Drosophila melanogaster: one gene and its partner. The protein of the gene in region 1 interacts with the protein of each later gene in a pairwise test. Each region holds a gene or a part of one and is shown on either strand. Other genes may lie near its edges.

Region 1 (7,766 bases):
CAAAAAATGTTAGATTATAAAATTTTAAAGTGGAATTATGACAAATCTTGTTTTTGCACCTTGATAATCTCTTTAAGTTTTGATGACGACCATAACAATCAAATAAAATTGTTCGACAGTAAATCCAATTAGTGTTCTTAAGACTGTTGTTAAAGCTATGTAAGTTTTAAATGGTACAAAAGGAAAATGTTACTGTGGCTATTGTTGCTGTTGCTGCGTCTGATGATGTCTCTTCTCTCGAGCTCGTTCGATATGCCGCTTTCGTTCTTCTTTTGTCCAATAACGACCTATTTTTACTTCAGATATTGTATCGTCTTCCGTCGTGGTAACCTCGTTGTAACGCATATTTTTCCGCAATGCAACTTGGGGTCGATTACGTACTGGCCGTTTTACTATGTACCGCGTTCCATCTGGTCGCCTTTTAACCTTCCATACCATGGGTATTTCCTCAGCACTTTCACCGTTAAGCAAAGTAGCATTTTTTTGTAAGCTTGTTGAAATATGACATCTGTTTGCAACCTTTACAAAAGTAATCAAAACTTTTATTTATAGAATATGGGCAAAAAAATATATTCAATGGAATATGAGAGAGATGGAATATGAGATACATGTATATACTAATAGATTTAATAGATTTGCAAGCCTACTTATATGGTATATTTGCCCTTTGAATTTTATTGAAAATGTACAATGTTTTTAGAATTGTTCTTTTTTTGATGCATAATTTTTCACTAAAAATCGATTTAAAACCTCCTTTCATGTGATCTCTTATTGGAATGATCTTAGAAAAAAGTTGAATAAAGTAGTAAATAGTGGTAAAAATATGTATTTTCCTGACCTGTTGATCCTTACATGTTTTAAATTTTAAACCCATAGAAAACGTTCAGTAAATGCACTTATAAGAAAATTATTAAAATATTTTCAATGGATGATACTTAATTCATTAAGATGTGTAACATTCAAATGAAATCTTAGATTTAACCGTCAACTGTTAAAATCATTGTCATCCATTCGTTTTAATCCCCTACTAATACCATTTTACCCCATATGCACATACATTAAACTTGTACTTACCTCTTGACTACTAACAAAGTGGTAACTACTCAAATTTGGGGCGTTAAACTGTGGACAATGACTATAGGAATCATCAGTTGGTTTAACTCTTAGTATTTCAATGTCGCTTTTAAGTGGATGAATTTCATTTTCAGACCCAACGTTGGTATACCGCTCTGAAGTGGAATAATGTTAATGGTAATTAAATGAAGTTCACGATATATCGTTTTCAGTTTGTAAATCTTATAATAAGACGTTCAGTTAAATGTTACACAAATTTGAAAATGTTAATTGCTTCAGAATTTTTTTTATCAAGGCAAAAATGATAAATCGTTTTATACCCGTGGAGAAAAGTATCTAACAGGTAGAAGAAAGCGTTTCAACCATATAAAGTATATACATATATTCTTGATCAGTGTCAATAGGCGAGTCGTTCTGGACATGAACGTCTATGCACGCCCACACTTTTGAAAAATTTTAAAATTTTTTCTTATTGTATTCCCCCATATTTATTGATATCCCAGACAAATTATGAAATTTCGCGTTCGCATTTACACTAGCTGAGTAACGGGTATCTGATAGTCGGGGAACTTGACTATAGCATTCTCTAAAATGGCGTTAAAATGGGCGGGTCCAAATTTTTTGACATATCGATAGAGAGAATCACTGCATGCTGTCCCAACTTTATAACTTTTATAGCTTCCGAGATCTCGACGTTTTTAAGGACACAGGGGCATGGCCAGACAGACTCGTCTAGTAATCAATAATATATATTTACGTCTTATTGTTTGAACGTTGGTACTGGTTCACTTTCAGAATCTTATGGAATGGCCTCATAGGTGTGCGCGCAATCACATTGCAGATTTACTTATTTTTGGCTTAAAGATTGATTGAAGCTTTTTCTATAATCCAAGTTTGCATTCGGTCGAAGCTTTATTTTACTACACGACTTGTTAGATTGCTCAATGATATTTTTCGCCAATAAAGATATTTTAACATTTTAGTCAGATGAGTTTTTTTGGTGGTATATGATAGCATTTGTCAGATTGAATAGCGGACGTAAGTTAAGAAAATCTTATCAAGTTCATCCACTACATTTGTATAGTCATCTGGCAAAAATGTATTAGCATACTCAAAATGTATATCTTCGACATCATCGTCGTCCTATAAAAATTTGTTAAACCATTTACACCTTTGAATTTTATACTTTGATTAATAAAAATGGTTTCTATCGATTCTCAATGGTTAACACAACTGTAGGCACTTATTTTCGATAGATAAATAATATTTTGTCTACAATTCCTCAACCTACACTGCGTCTCTTTTTGTTGAATCCAATCGGAAAAATATTTATCATTAACATATTGACTTTTCCAGTTAAAATATAAGCCTTTAGTTTCAACTTTCTAGCTTTTATATCTACCGACATCTCGACATCCGTAAGGACAGAGGGACATGACCAGATAGACTCGTCTAGTAATCAAGAATTTATACTTTACAGGGTTTGAAATTTTCTTCAACCGTTTACTAGCTTTTTAACGAGCCTAGTACCATTTAATTCAAAGTTTAAAAAGTAAAAGGTGAAGAGCTTTTAAAGTGGAGCACGTCTGATATGTCAGACGCTACGTACTATCTGCAACTAAAATATAATTGTTATGCATACCGCTGACATACGCTGTAGGCAGATTGGAAGAGCAGAGACCAATACGGCCAGACTTGCCGAATGGTAATAGCAACATAGTGCTTACACCTGTGGCATCCAAATGATCATTGGGGCTATCAATAACAGTACTATCTAGCTTGCGACCAGTGGCGATGGCTTCATCAGGATTTGTAGTATTTTGATGGGGGGAGGCGCTATTATTAGAATCACCAGTGTTGTAGGCACTTGAGGAGTTATCGACCTCTTCGCCAGGAGCCGCGGCGTTCCCTGTAACAACATTATTTTGTCCATAAGAGCTGTATGCCACTCCACTACTGCTGGATGCGCTTGTGTTGGTTAAGGTGCTACGCAATGTAAAAACACGACTACAAGTAGGTTGCTGTACTAATTTCAACGGCGGGGGTCGACCAACTAGAGTTTGTCTAGTTTTCTGGTATTGTGGCTTCAAGCCCAACCACTGGGCGACTCTTTGAGTTTGTTGTTGCATTGTTCTTTCTAATGATTCGGCCGGTCTCGATGCTATTGGAGATGAACAACCTATTGACGTCTTGTCGTTTGAACGTTGGTACGGTGAACAATACACTGGTTCACTTTCAGAATCTTCTGGAATGGTTTCGTAAATGTGCTCGCTTTCATCGTACTCATATTGCAGATGAACTTCTTCTTGGCTTAAAGGTAGATTGAATTTTTTTTTATAATCCAAGTTTGCATTCGGTCGAAGCTTTATTTTACTACAGGACTTGGTAGATTGCTCAATGATATTTTTCGCCAAAGAAGATATTTTAACGTTTGAATCAGATGAGTTCTTTTCTGGTATGTGATAGCATTCGTCAGATTGCATGGCGGATTTATTGGATAGTTCTTCCAAAGACTTGACGTGAGTTAACAAAACCTTATCCAATTTATCCACTACATTTGTATAGTCATCTGGCAGAAATGTATTAGCATACTCAAAATGTATATCTTCGTCATCATCGTCTTCCTATAAAAAATTTGTTCCAAAATATTGCAGCTAGTTAAAATATTTACAGTTTTAAACTTTATACTTTGATTAATAAAAATGGTTTTATCGGTTATCAATGGGTCACACAACTGTAGGCACTTATTTTGGATAAATAAATAATATTTTTCTACAAATTCTCAACTCCCACTGCGGTCTGTTTTAAGAATACAATCACAAAAATATTTACCATTAACATTATTGACTTTTCAAATATTATACATATCGCTATGGACTTTATAGTCCCAACACCCATCTCATCTATATGGAATGTGGGTATTAATAGTATTACTAACCTGGTTAAGCACATATTTTATAAAACGAGTTTGAGGATTCATGGAAAATCGTTAGTAAGCGTATGCGAATTTGACCGTAAGGTAAATATATATATAAAGATATACTCCAAACAAAACCATGATTTTAAGTTACGAGATTGAAGGCGGTTACTCTGAGGCAACAAGTCGAAATCGGATCTAAATTAAAAACCAGAACGAACAATATTTTTTTTAATTTAATGGTGCGCATTTTTTAGCGTATTAAATTCTACAGTGGTATAACCCCTTACTATAGTTATGAACTAAGTGTTTATTTGGGAATTTTTTTTTGGTATTAGAAATTTCGACTTACAGGGTATAGAATTCGACTAACTAGTAGCGTTACTGATGTACTACTCCTGGCTATCTGAGTTTCTAACTCCTCCTGGTTTTTAACATCCAAGCCGTTAATACGAAGAATCTGATCCCCCTGTCGCAGGCGCCCATCACGATAGGCTATACTTTCCGGTTGTACACCACTGATGAACACATCCTCACTATGTTCTAAAACGTTACCTAGTATGTCACCTTTATTCGTGTCGGTACTTGATTGCTGAATTCCGGAGGAGGTAACAATGAGCCCGATTTGATTGCTGCTTGACTGTTCAACACCTTTAACAAGCGTTACTTCCTGTTGATTATAAAAAAATACTATTATTTTGAATCCCAACACACATATCTAAGCAACTGACAGTTTTAGGATCTGTTATAAATACATCGGTTTCAATAATATTTATGTAGACGGCGAGAGTAAATAAACCACTGGCGTACAAAAGGCAATCACCTTATACCTTCCAAAAATTTTTATTTATTTTATTTGATATTTTTTGCTTTCTCGAAATTTGTTTAAATATCATTGTGTGCAAATACTTAGCAAGTGACAGTGTACACACAACTCCAAAAAATTTTAATAATAAACTTTGTGAATATTAATAATAACTGTTATGCCCGTCCGACCGCTCGATCATTCAAAGTCTACAGATGGCTTGTGTTGGTATATAGTCTCTCCTCAACGAATATAACAAAACTGCAACATACATATGTATGTACATATGGAGAATATGAGCATTTAAAATTTCTGCACTTCGCAAGGGCAAGGGTTGAATGTGGGCCCGCAGCCCAAGCAAACGCTACACAAATGCTCATACAAACGCAATTTGTATTTGCATTAAATAAGCATAGAATGGGTCTTAAGTGTATAGAGAAGTCGCCATCGCACATCGCGAAGACAGACCAGAACAGTTTTGTGGTACTGCTGTAGTAATGTATGGTAAATACCTCAATGTCGATTTCCGGTTCCAGGCATTGTTCGAACAAATGGTGTTCATGCTCTATGAAGTTGTCGGTAATTGTGTTAACCAAATCGTTATCCTTTAAAACGTCCGTACCAACGACAGATTGGGTTTGAGTTTCCTTCGATGCGGCTTGTAGACTTCCCAAACGATCCTCATGACTTCTAGCCCGAAGAGTTAAAACCACAGGAGTTTTCGTCTCGATTTCTTTCAACGATGTTGAAGATGGGCAATTTATTTGTTGAGAGGCACTGGCAGCTGTGATCGTCCCTTCTGCTGACTTGTCAGTTAGGACAGAAAGTTCTCCGGGATTGTCCACTTTTGATATTTTGGCATTGGAGCCATGTTTTAATTCTAAATCTAATGCATTGTGTTTCTGTCTGCGTATTTCTACGACAAGGGTTTCTTTAGATTGAAGGAACTTTTGAACCGCTTCATACCTCGACAAATGACTAATATCGTAACCGTTTATCTGAAACAGAATATGTGCATTTTGAAACGCTAAAAAACAGATTTCACACGAATGGAACTATTTATGGTAAAACGAGAACTCGGTTCTTAGTCCTACTTTATATTGAACTTACTTTTAACACAACATATTCGTACTCCACGTCGGCAATACTCATAGTGATGCTTAAAATCCAAAACTCATATTTATTTTCATTTAATTGTATACATATTTTTTCGAAAGTGTGGCCAAACCTTTTGTTTTCATTTATATCATTTACGTATTCTTTTTGATAAAAATTGTAATCGATTCTCTTAAGTAATCGTTTAATAACTCGCAACGGAATGGAAACCGTTAACGGATTGAGAAATCATAGCAATTAAAATTATCCGCTCGTATAAACGCATATTTTCAGACTGTACCAATTTTCAATTCATATTGTTGAATATAAAGTTGAAGTTGATGTAATGAAATTGATAATATAATATAATATTTCAATGGCTTAGGCATTGATAACCACGAAAAGCGGAGGTGCCCCTTGACTAAAAAGAGTTGCTATAGAATGGTTTTTGTAACCACTATTGTTTGATACGCACCTGTCATTGAAGTTCTTGTCGTTTCGTATCAATTTTGTGCTATGTAAATGAAATGGAAATGGCCTTAGTGACTTAACTGTGTGAACACAATATAATAATTTATTTCCGATACTTTTATCTTGATCTATCGATGGATGCGTATTTCTTAAAGCATACACATATACAATTATATAGAGCTTAAATAGCCGGATCAATTCGTATTTAAGGTTGTATGATGGTTAAAACGGGAAATCGCAGTAATTTTTATTATTTAAATAGTAAATTTAAACTTCAGTAAAAATATCCTAAATAATGTGAAGTGTCAAGAGCCAGGTGGACATAGCCATATCCGTACGCCCGTTTCTCACTAAATCTTTCTAAAAGCCTTTCTGTTGCCGATACTATGCATACTACATGTATGGCAGAAAGACCTCGACAAAGGGGAACATACATACATATCTTCTTTTTTGTTAGAAAGTGTTTTATCTCGGTATTGAACAGTTTTCGACCATATGCCTTGGAAAAGTCAAATTTTTTCTGTTCGTGATCATAAATAGATATTATTCAGTATAAGCATATAAAAATCGGCTTGCCGATTTTTGTTTATTTCCTATATTATACCCATTACTTGTAAAGTAAAATCGTATATGTATTAGATTCGCTGCAATGTATGTAATTGGTAGAAGAAACCGTCTCCGATCATAGAAAGTATATGTATGTAATAGGAACGCATCGATCCCATTTTATACTCACATGTTTCCAAATGTTTACACGCTTGTTCTAACGACCACGAACCGCCCAAAAACTGCCAAAAACAATTTTAACCAAATACCTACAAATCGTTCAAAACTGTAACGCCCATATCAATTTAAACACACATAAACCCTATGTAGTATATACATACATATGTATGTGTCTAGATTAGAAAGAAACACCCATCCGAGTTGATACTTCCGTCTGCCCCTATGAATGTTGTAATGTCGGGAAGCACTCCTCTGGCTACCAAAAATTAGTAATGTAAATAAAGGAGAGGTGGGCTAATTTGATTCTAAGGTTATATATTTCTTTTTTATTGCATTTGTTTTCGGTTTGGACATCATATAGTGTCCAAATCCCGAAGTTCATTAACTAGTCTCGGAAACCTTTTTGTTCACCTGTTATGTTCTTTTTTAATTTTTAATAACCCCCTTACTTTACGAGTGAAGAGTATAAAAGAATTATAAATACTTTTTCAAGAATTCAGGTTAATATAATTATTCGATTTTATGATAGAATCTAACGTTCCGCTAACCATTTAATACAGCAAACCATATTTATTTTCAGATCAAAAATGACAACACACGATGAGGCTCAGTCATACTTCTCACGTCTTAATTCAATTTCCGAAAAAATTACCTGCGATCTCAATAAAGTTAAATCTA
Region 2 (3,318 bases), on another chromosome or scaffold:
GAAAATTCCTATGAAAAATCTAAAAATATATGACCCCAAGCACCGACAGTACATTAGTAATAGAAAGCTAGGAAAGTAAGGATGTTTTAATATTGTTATACAGACAGTTGCAGCGGAGCAAGAATTTAAATTGCGCGCCTTTTTGATACTTGATACTCTCATAAGGCGTTTAAATATACATATCACTCCTTTCATTTCTAAAAATATTGAAAATTAACAAGAAGTATTTATTATTATAAAAAAATATTGAAGCATTTACAGAAATGTTGTAATAAATGTACTAAAAGTCAAATAATAAATGAAATAAATACTTTTTGAGATTTTATTTTAAAATTTTTCGCGTGCGATCAATAATTATAGTTACTTTTCTTGATATTTGTTAGGAGAAAAGTGTTTTTGGCACCTTGTGTACCATAACGAATATATTCTTATCTTGTGACCTAAAGTTTAATTAATTTTATTGCTCGAAAAAGCCATCATAAATTAAATGTGCTTTTCTTGGACATTTGAATTTGTATGATTTTATTTCTATTTGCCATTTTCTACAGGCTTCTACTGGATACGATTTATTTCGGGTGCTTCTGTAAGCGTAACACAGCGAATTTGATTGGCTAATGGTGAGTGAGTGTTCCGATAACTCGGTCCTCAATCATGATTGAGGGCCAGATGACGCTTGGCGTCGATGGTGGAACGGCCATAGGTGTTGCCCACACGAAATTTGTTGCCCGGAACGTGGCCGCCGTAGCGTGGAATCATGCCTACCACCCGCGGATAGATCACGCCATTGGGATTGGCGAATGAGCGGCCCACGCCTGCCTTCTCCACGGGCACCCATTCCGCGCTGCGGATGAAATGCATGTCGTTCTTCGGGTAGCACCATCCCTCATCCGGCAGATGGAAGTCGAAACCAAATCCTAGAAGGGCATGTTGACACATTAGATTAATAGATAAGTCATGGTTGAGCTTTTAACTTACGGCTGGAATAGGACATGTTTTTTATTTCCGCAAAAATTGTTGATCCTTTCCGAGTGTTGCTGCTTAACTGGGTAACTGGAAACTGAATTTAACTATTAATAGCTGGCCTGACAGGAGAAGCTTCGACAAAACGACCCCGTTTCCCATGACAACGGAGGCCAGGATTGGACGGATTGCCTAGATGGCAGCAACAAGTTAGGTCACGACACCGATTTGCATTTCCTGATGCCGTATTTTAATGGCAATTAATTCGACTCGTCGTAACAACACAATTACCGTGGCATTTAAAAGAGTTATGGGGTACGTTTTATTTTATTACGTTTACTGGTTTATGATTTAGTCATTTACAGGGCGATTGTATTGATTAACAAGATGGAAGGTCTCAGGGCCGGAAAGTGCACTACGTCAATGATATCCTCGCCTCCATCTCCTTCAGTTTGACTTCTTGGCCTTCTTCTGTTGCTTGCTCTTCAGTTTCTCCTGCTTCTTGAGCTCCTTTTCCGTCAGGGATTTGTACAGCTTGTAGCCAAAGAGAGCTGTAATGCGGAAAGAAGGGAGACGGTTAGTAAGGTGACGTTGATACATTATGCGATCAAGGGAACTGAGACCGAATATGGAGACCAAGAGAAAGATCACTGCCGACACTATGGAACTGGAGTAGGTCTGTGCGAAATGGGCGTGCTGCACTATTCGCTCCTCGATTCTGCCAATCGTCTGCTGGAACTTGTCCTTCATCTCGGCGAGAAACACATGCCGATCCGTTTCGGCCAGGGACTCCAGCTTGCTCTGCATCTCGCCGATCCGCTGGACGAGATCCTTGGAGAACTTGCTGCTGGGCCCAGTTTTGGCCACGATCGACTCCACGGACTTTTTCAGCTGCTCAATAACCCCGAGCTCGTCACTGGAACCCGACCAACTCATGTTTTGGGTTGTTCGGAAAAGGGGCTAAGTGGTGTGTCAACTACAGCCCGGCATGGGTCTCTGGCAAATACTGCTCTTTGGATTCCACTCTACCTATGTCTGCGGTGGATCCTACGCTTACCACTGGTTATCTTATCAAAAATCGAACGCTTTTAAACGAAGCAAACATTCTAGCTGTGGCTCGTGAGCGAGTGAGTGAGTGCTTCGACATAGCCGCCTCCTAAAACCTTATCGCCCTTTAAGCAGAAACCCAGGTGGGTGCGTATATCGCGCCCGATAAGGGTTATACGACTCGTTAGTGGCTCGTTCCGGAGGACGCTTACCAAAGACAATGAGTATGAGGGCCAGCATCACGAAGAACACCAGGTACTCCCGGGAACTGTGGCCCGGATGCCCGTACTGGCGCATGAAGTCCTCCGGCGACGGCGGCTTCGGGTTAAAGATGCTCTCGCGGAGCTCGGCTCGCTCGTCGTCCGAAATTCCCTCCATGCCCTCGACCAGCTTCCAGATCTCCTCGGCACTGGGCATCTTAAAGTCGGGATGTCCGGGCTCGGGACCGGCAAAACCGCCGGCTCCTCCAGCCGCAGCGGCAGCTGCCACGTCCTCAGCGAATGCCTGCTGGTTCACCGGATCCTCAGCCATGATCTAATCTCTGTTTGGGGCTTTAATTTACGGGCTGGGTTCTGTGGGCTCTTTGGCTTTTAGCGGTTCGCGTCTGAATGGATGGTATATAGGAAATCATGGTATTCGGTTTATGGTTCTACTTTCTGCATTTCAGCATGCTATTGGGGGGGCAAACAAAATCACAGAAACAAACAACGTGGCAAAACAAACGAATCGAATTCGAAAATGGATTTTGATTATCTATAACACAAGTTTGACACGCGGCATGCAGAGATAATAACGATTGTACAAATCACATAAACTACGATATTTAATCCCCCCCAAATCGCACACTTTCCAATATTAACTAATTTTGGCGCTAGATCGCCGGTGCTTACGTGCTCCGGCTTCTGCTGTTTGGGAGGACTGAATGAGTCTCTCTAAAACTTATATTAAAATCAATATAATTATAAGCCGCCACTCGTGTGTAATCAGTCGCTTGTATTTCATTATTCCCAGATATGCCCACTAGTTAACTTTTCGCTGCGCTTTTCGTTTTGCCTCCTGCCTTCGTCAGCATATTTTCAAAGGTGATCGCAAGAAGTTGGCATTGCGGAGAGCATATGTGTGCATATGCGATAAGGGAGAGCCACTAATCAGTGCCGGACACACGAGTACATAAAGACAAAACCCCAGTAAAGAGTGCCGTCCCATTCGCGAGCGATAGATGGCTACAATGTTACAAGATGGCCACCATATAAACGTCTACAGTTTGAATTGTTCAAGACGAACATCGCGAACTGATTTTATAGATCTTTT

What was found. Proteins that work in one complex are often made in the same cells at the same time.
Region 2: the proteins of Slip1 (region 1) and CG18336 interact in a two-hybrid assay, tested with the Drosophila melanogaster proteins (one large-scale study listed by BioGRID).

The regions. Positions count from the first base shown.
Region 1 is NC_004353.4:661,883-669,648, reverse strand, and holds the start of Slip1 (SLo interacting protein 1), read right to left. Parts: upstream 6,029-7,766; 5' UTR 5,949-6,028; coding exon 5,907-5,948; intron 5,795-5,906; coding exon 5,309-5,794; intron 4,662-5,308; coding exon 4,344-4,661; intron 3,699-4,343; coding exon 2,717-3,698; intron 1,230-2,716; coding exon 1,075-1,229; intron 520-1,074; coding exon 199-519; 3' UTR 1-198. Other genes in the region: CG46466 (uncharacterized protein), read left to right, coding at 7,676-7,766. UniProt on the Drosophila melanogaster protein: May selectively reduce calcium-activated potassium channel (Slo) currents by reducing the number of Slo channels in the plasma membrane.
Region 2 is NT_033778.4:11,293,275-11,296,592, forward strand, and holds CG18336 (uncharacterized protein), read right to left. Parts: upstream 1,313-3,318; 5' UTR 992-1,312; coding exon 976-991; intron 915-975; coding exon 646-914; 3' UTR 502-645; downstream 1-501. Other genes in the region: CG42336 (uncharacterized protein), read right to left, coding at 1,408-1,896.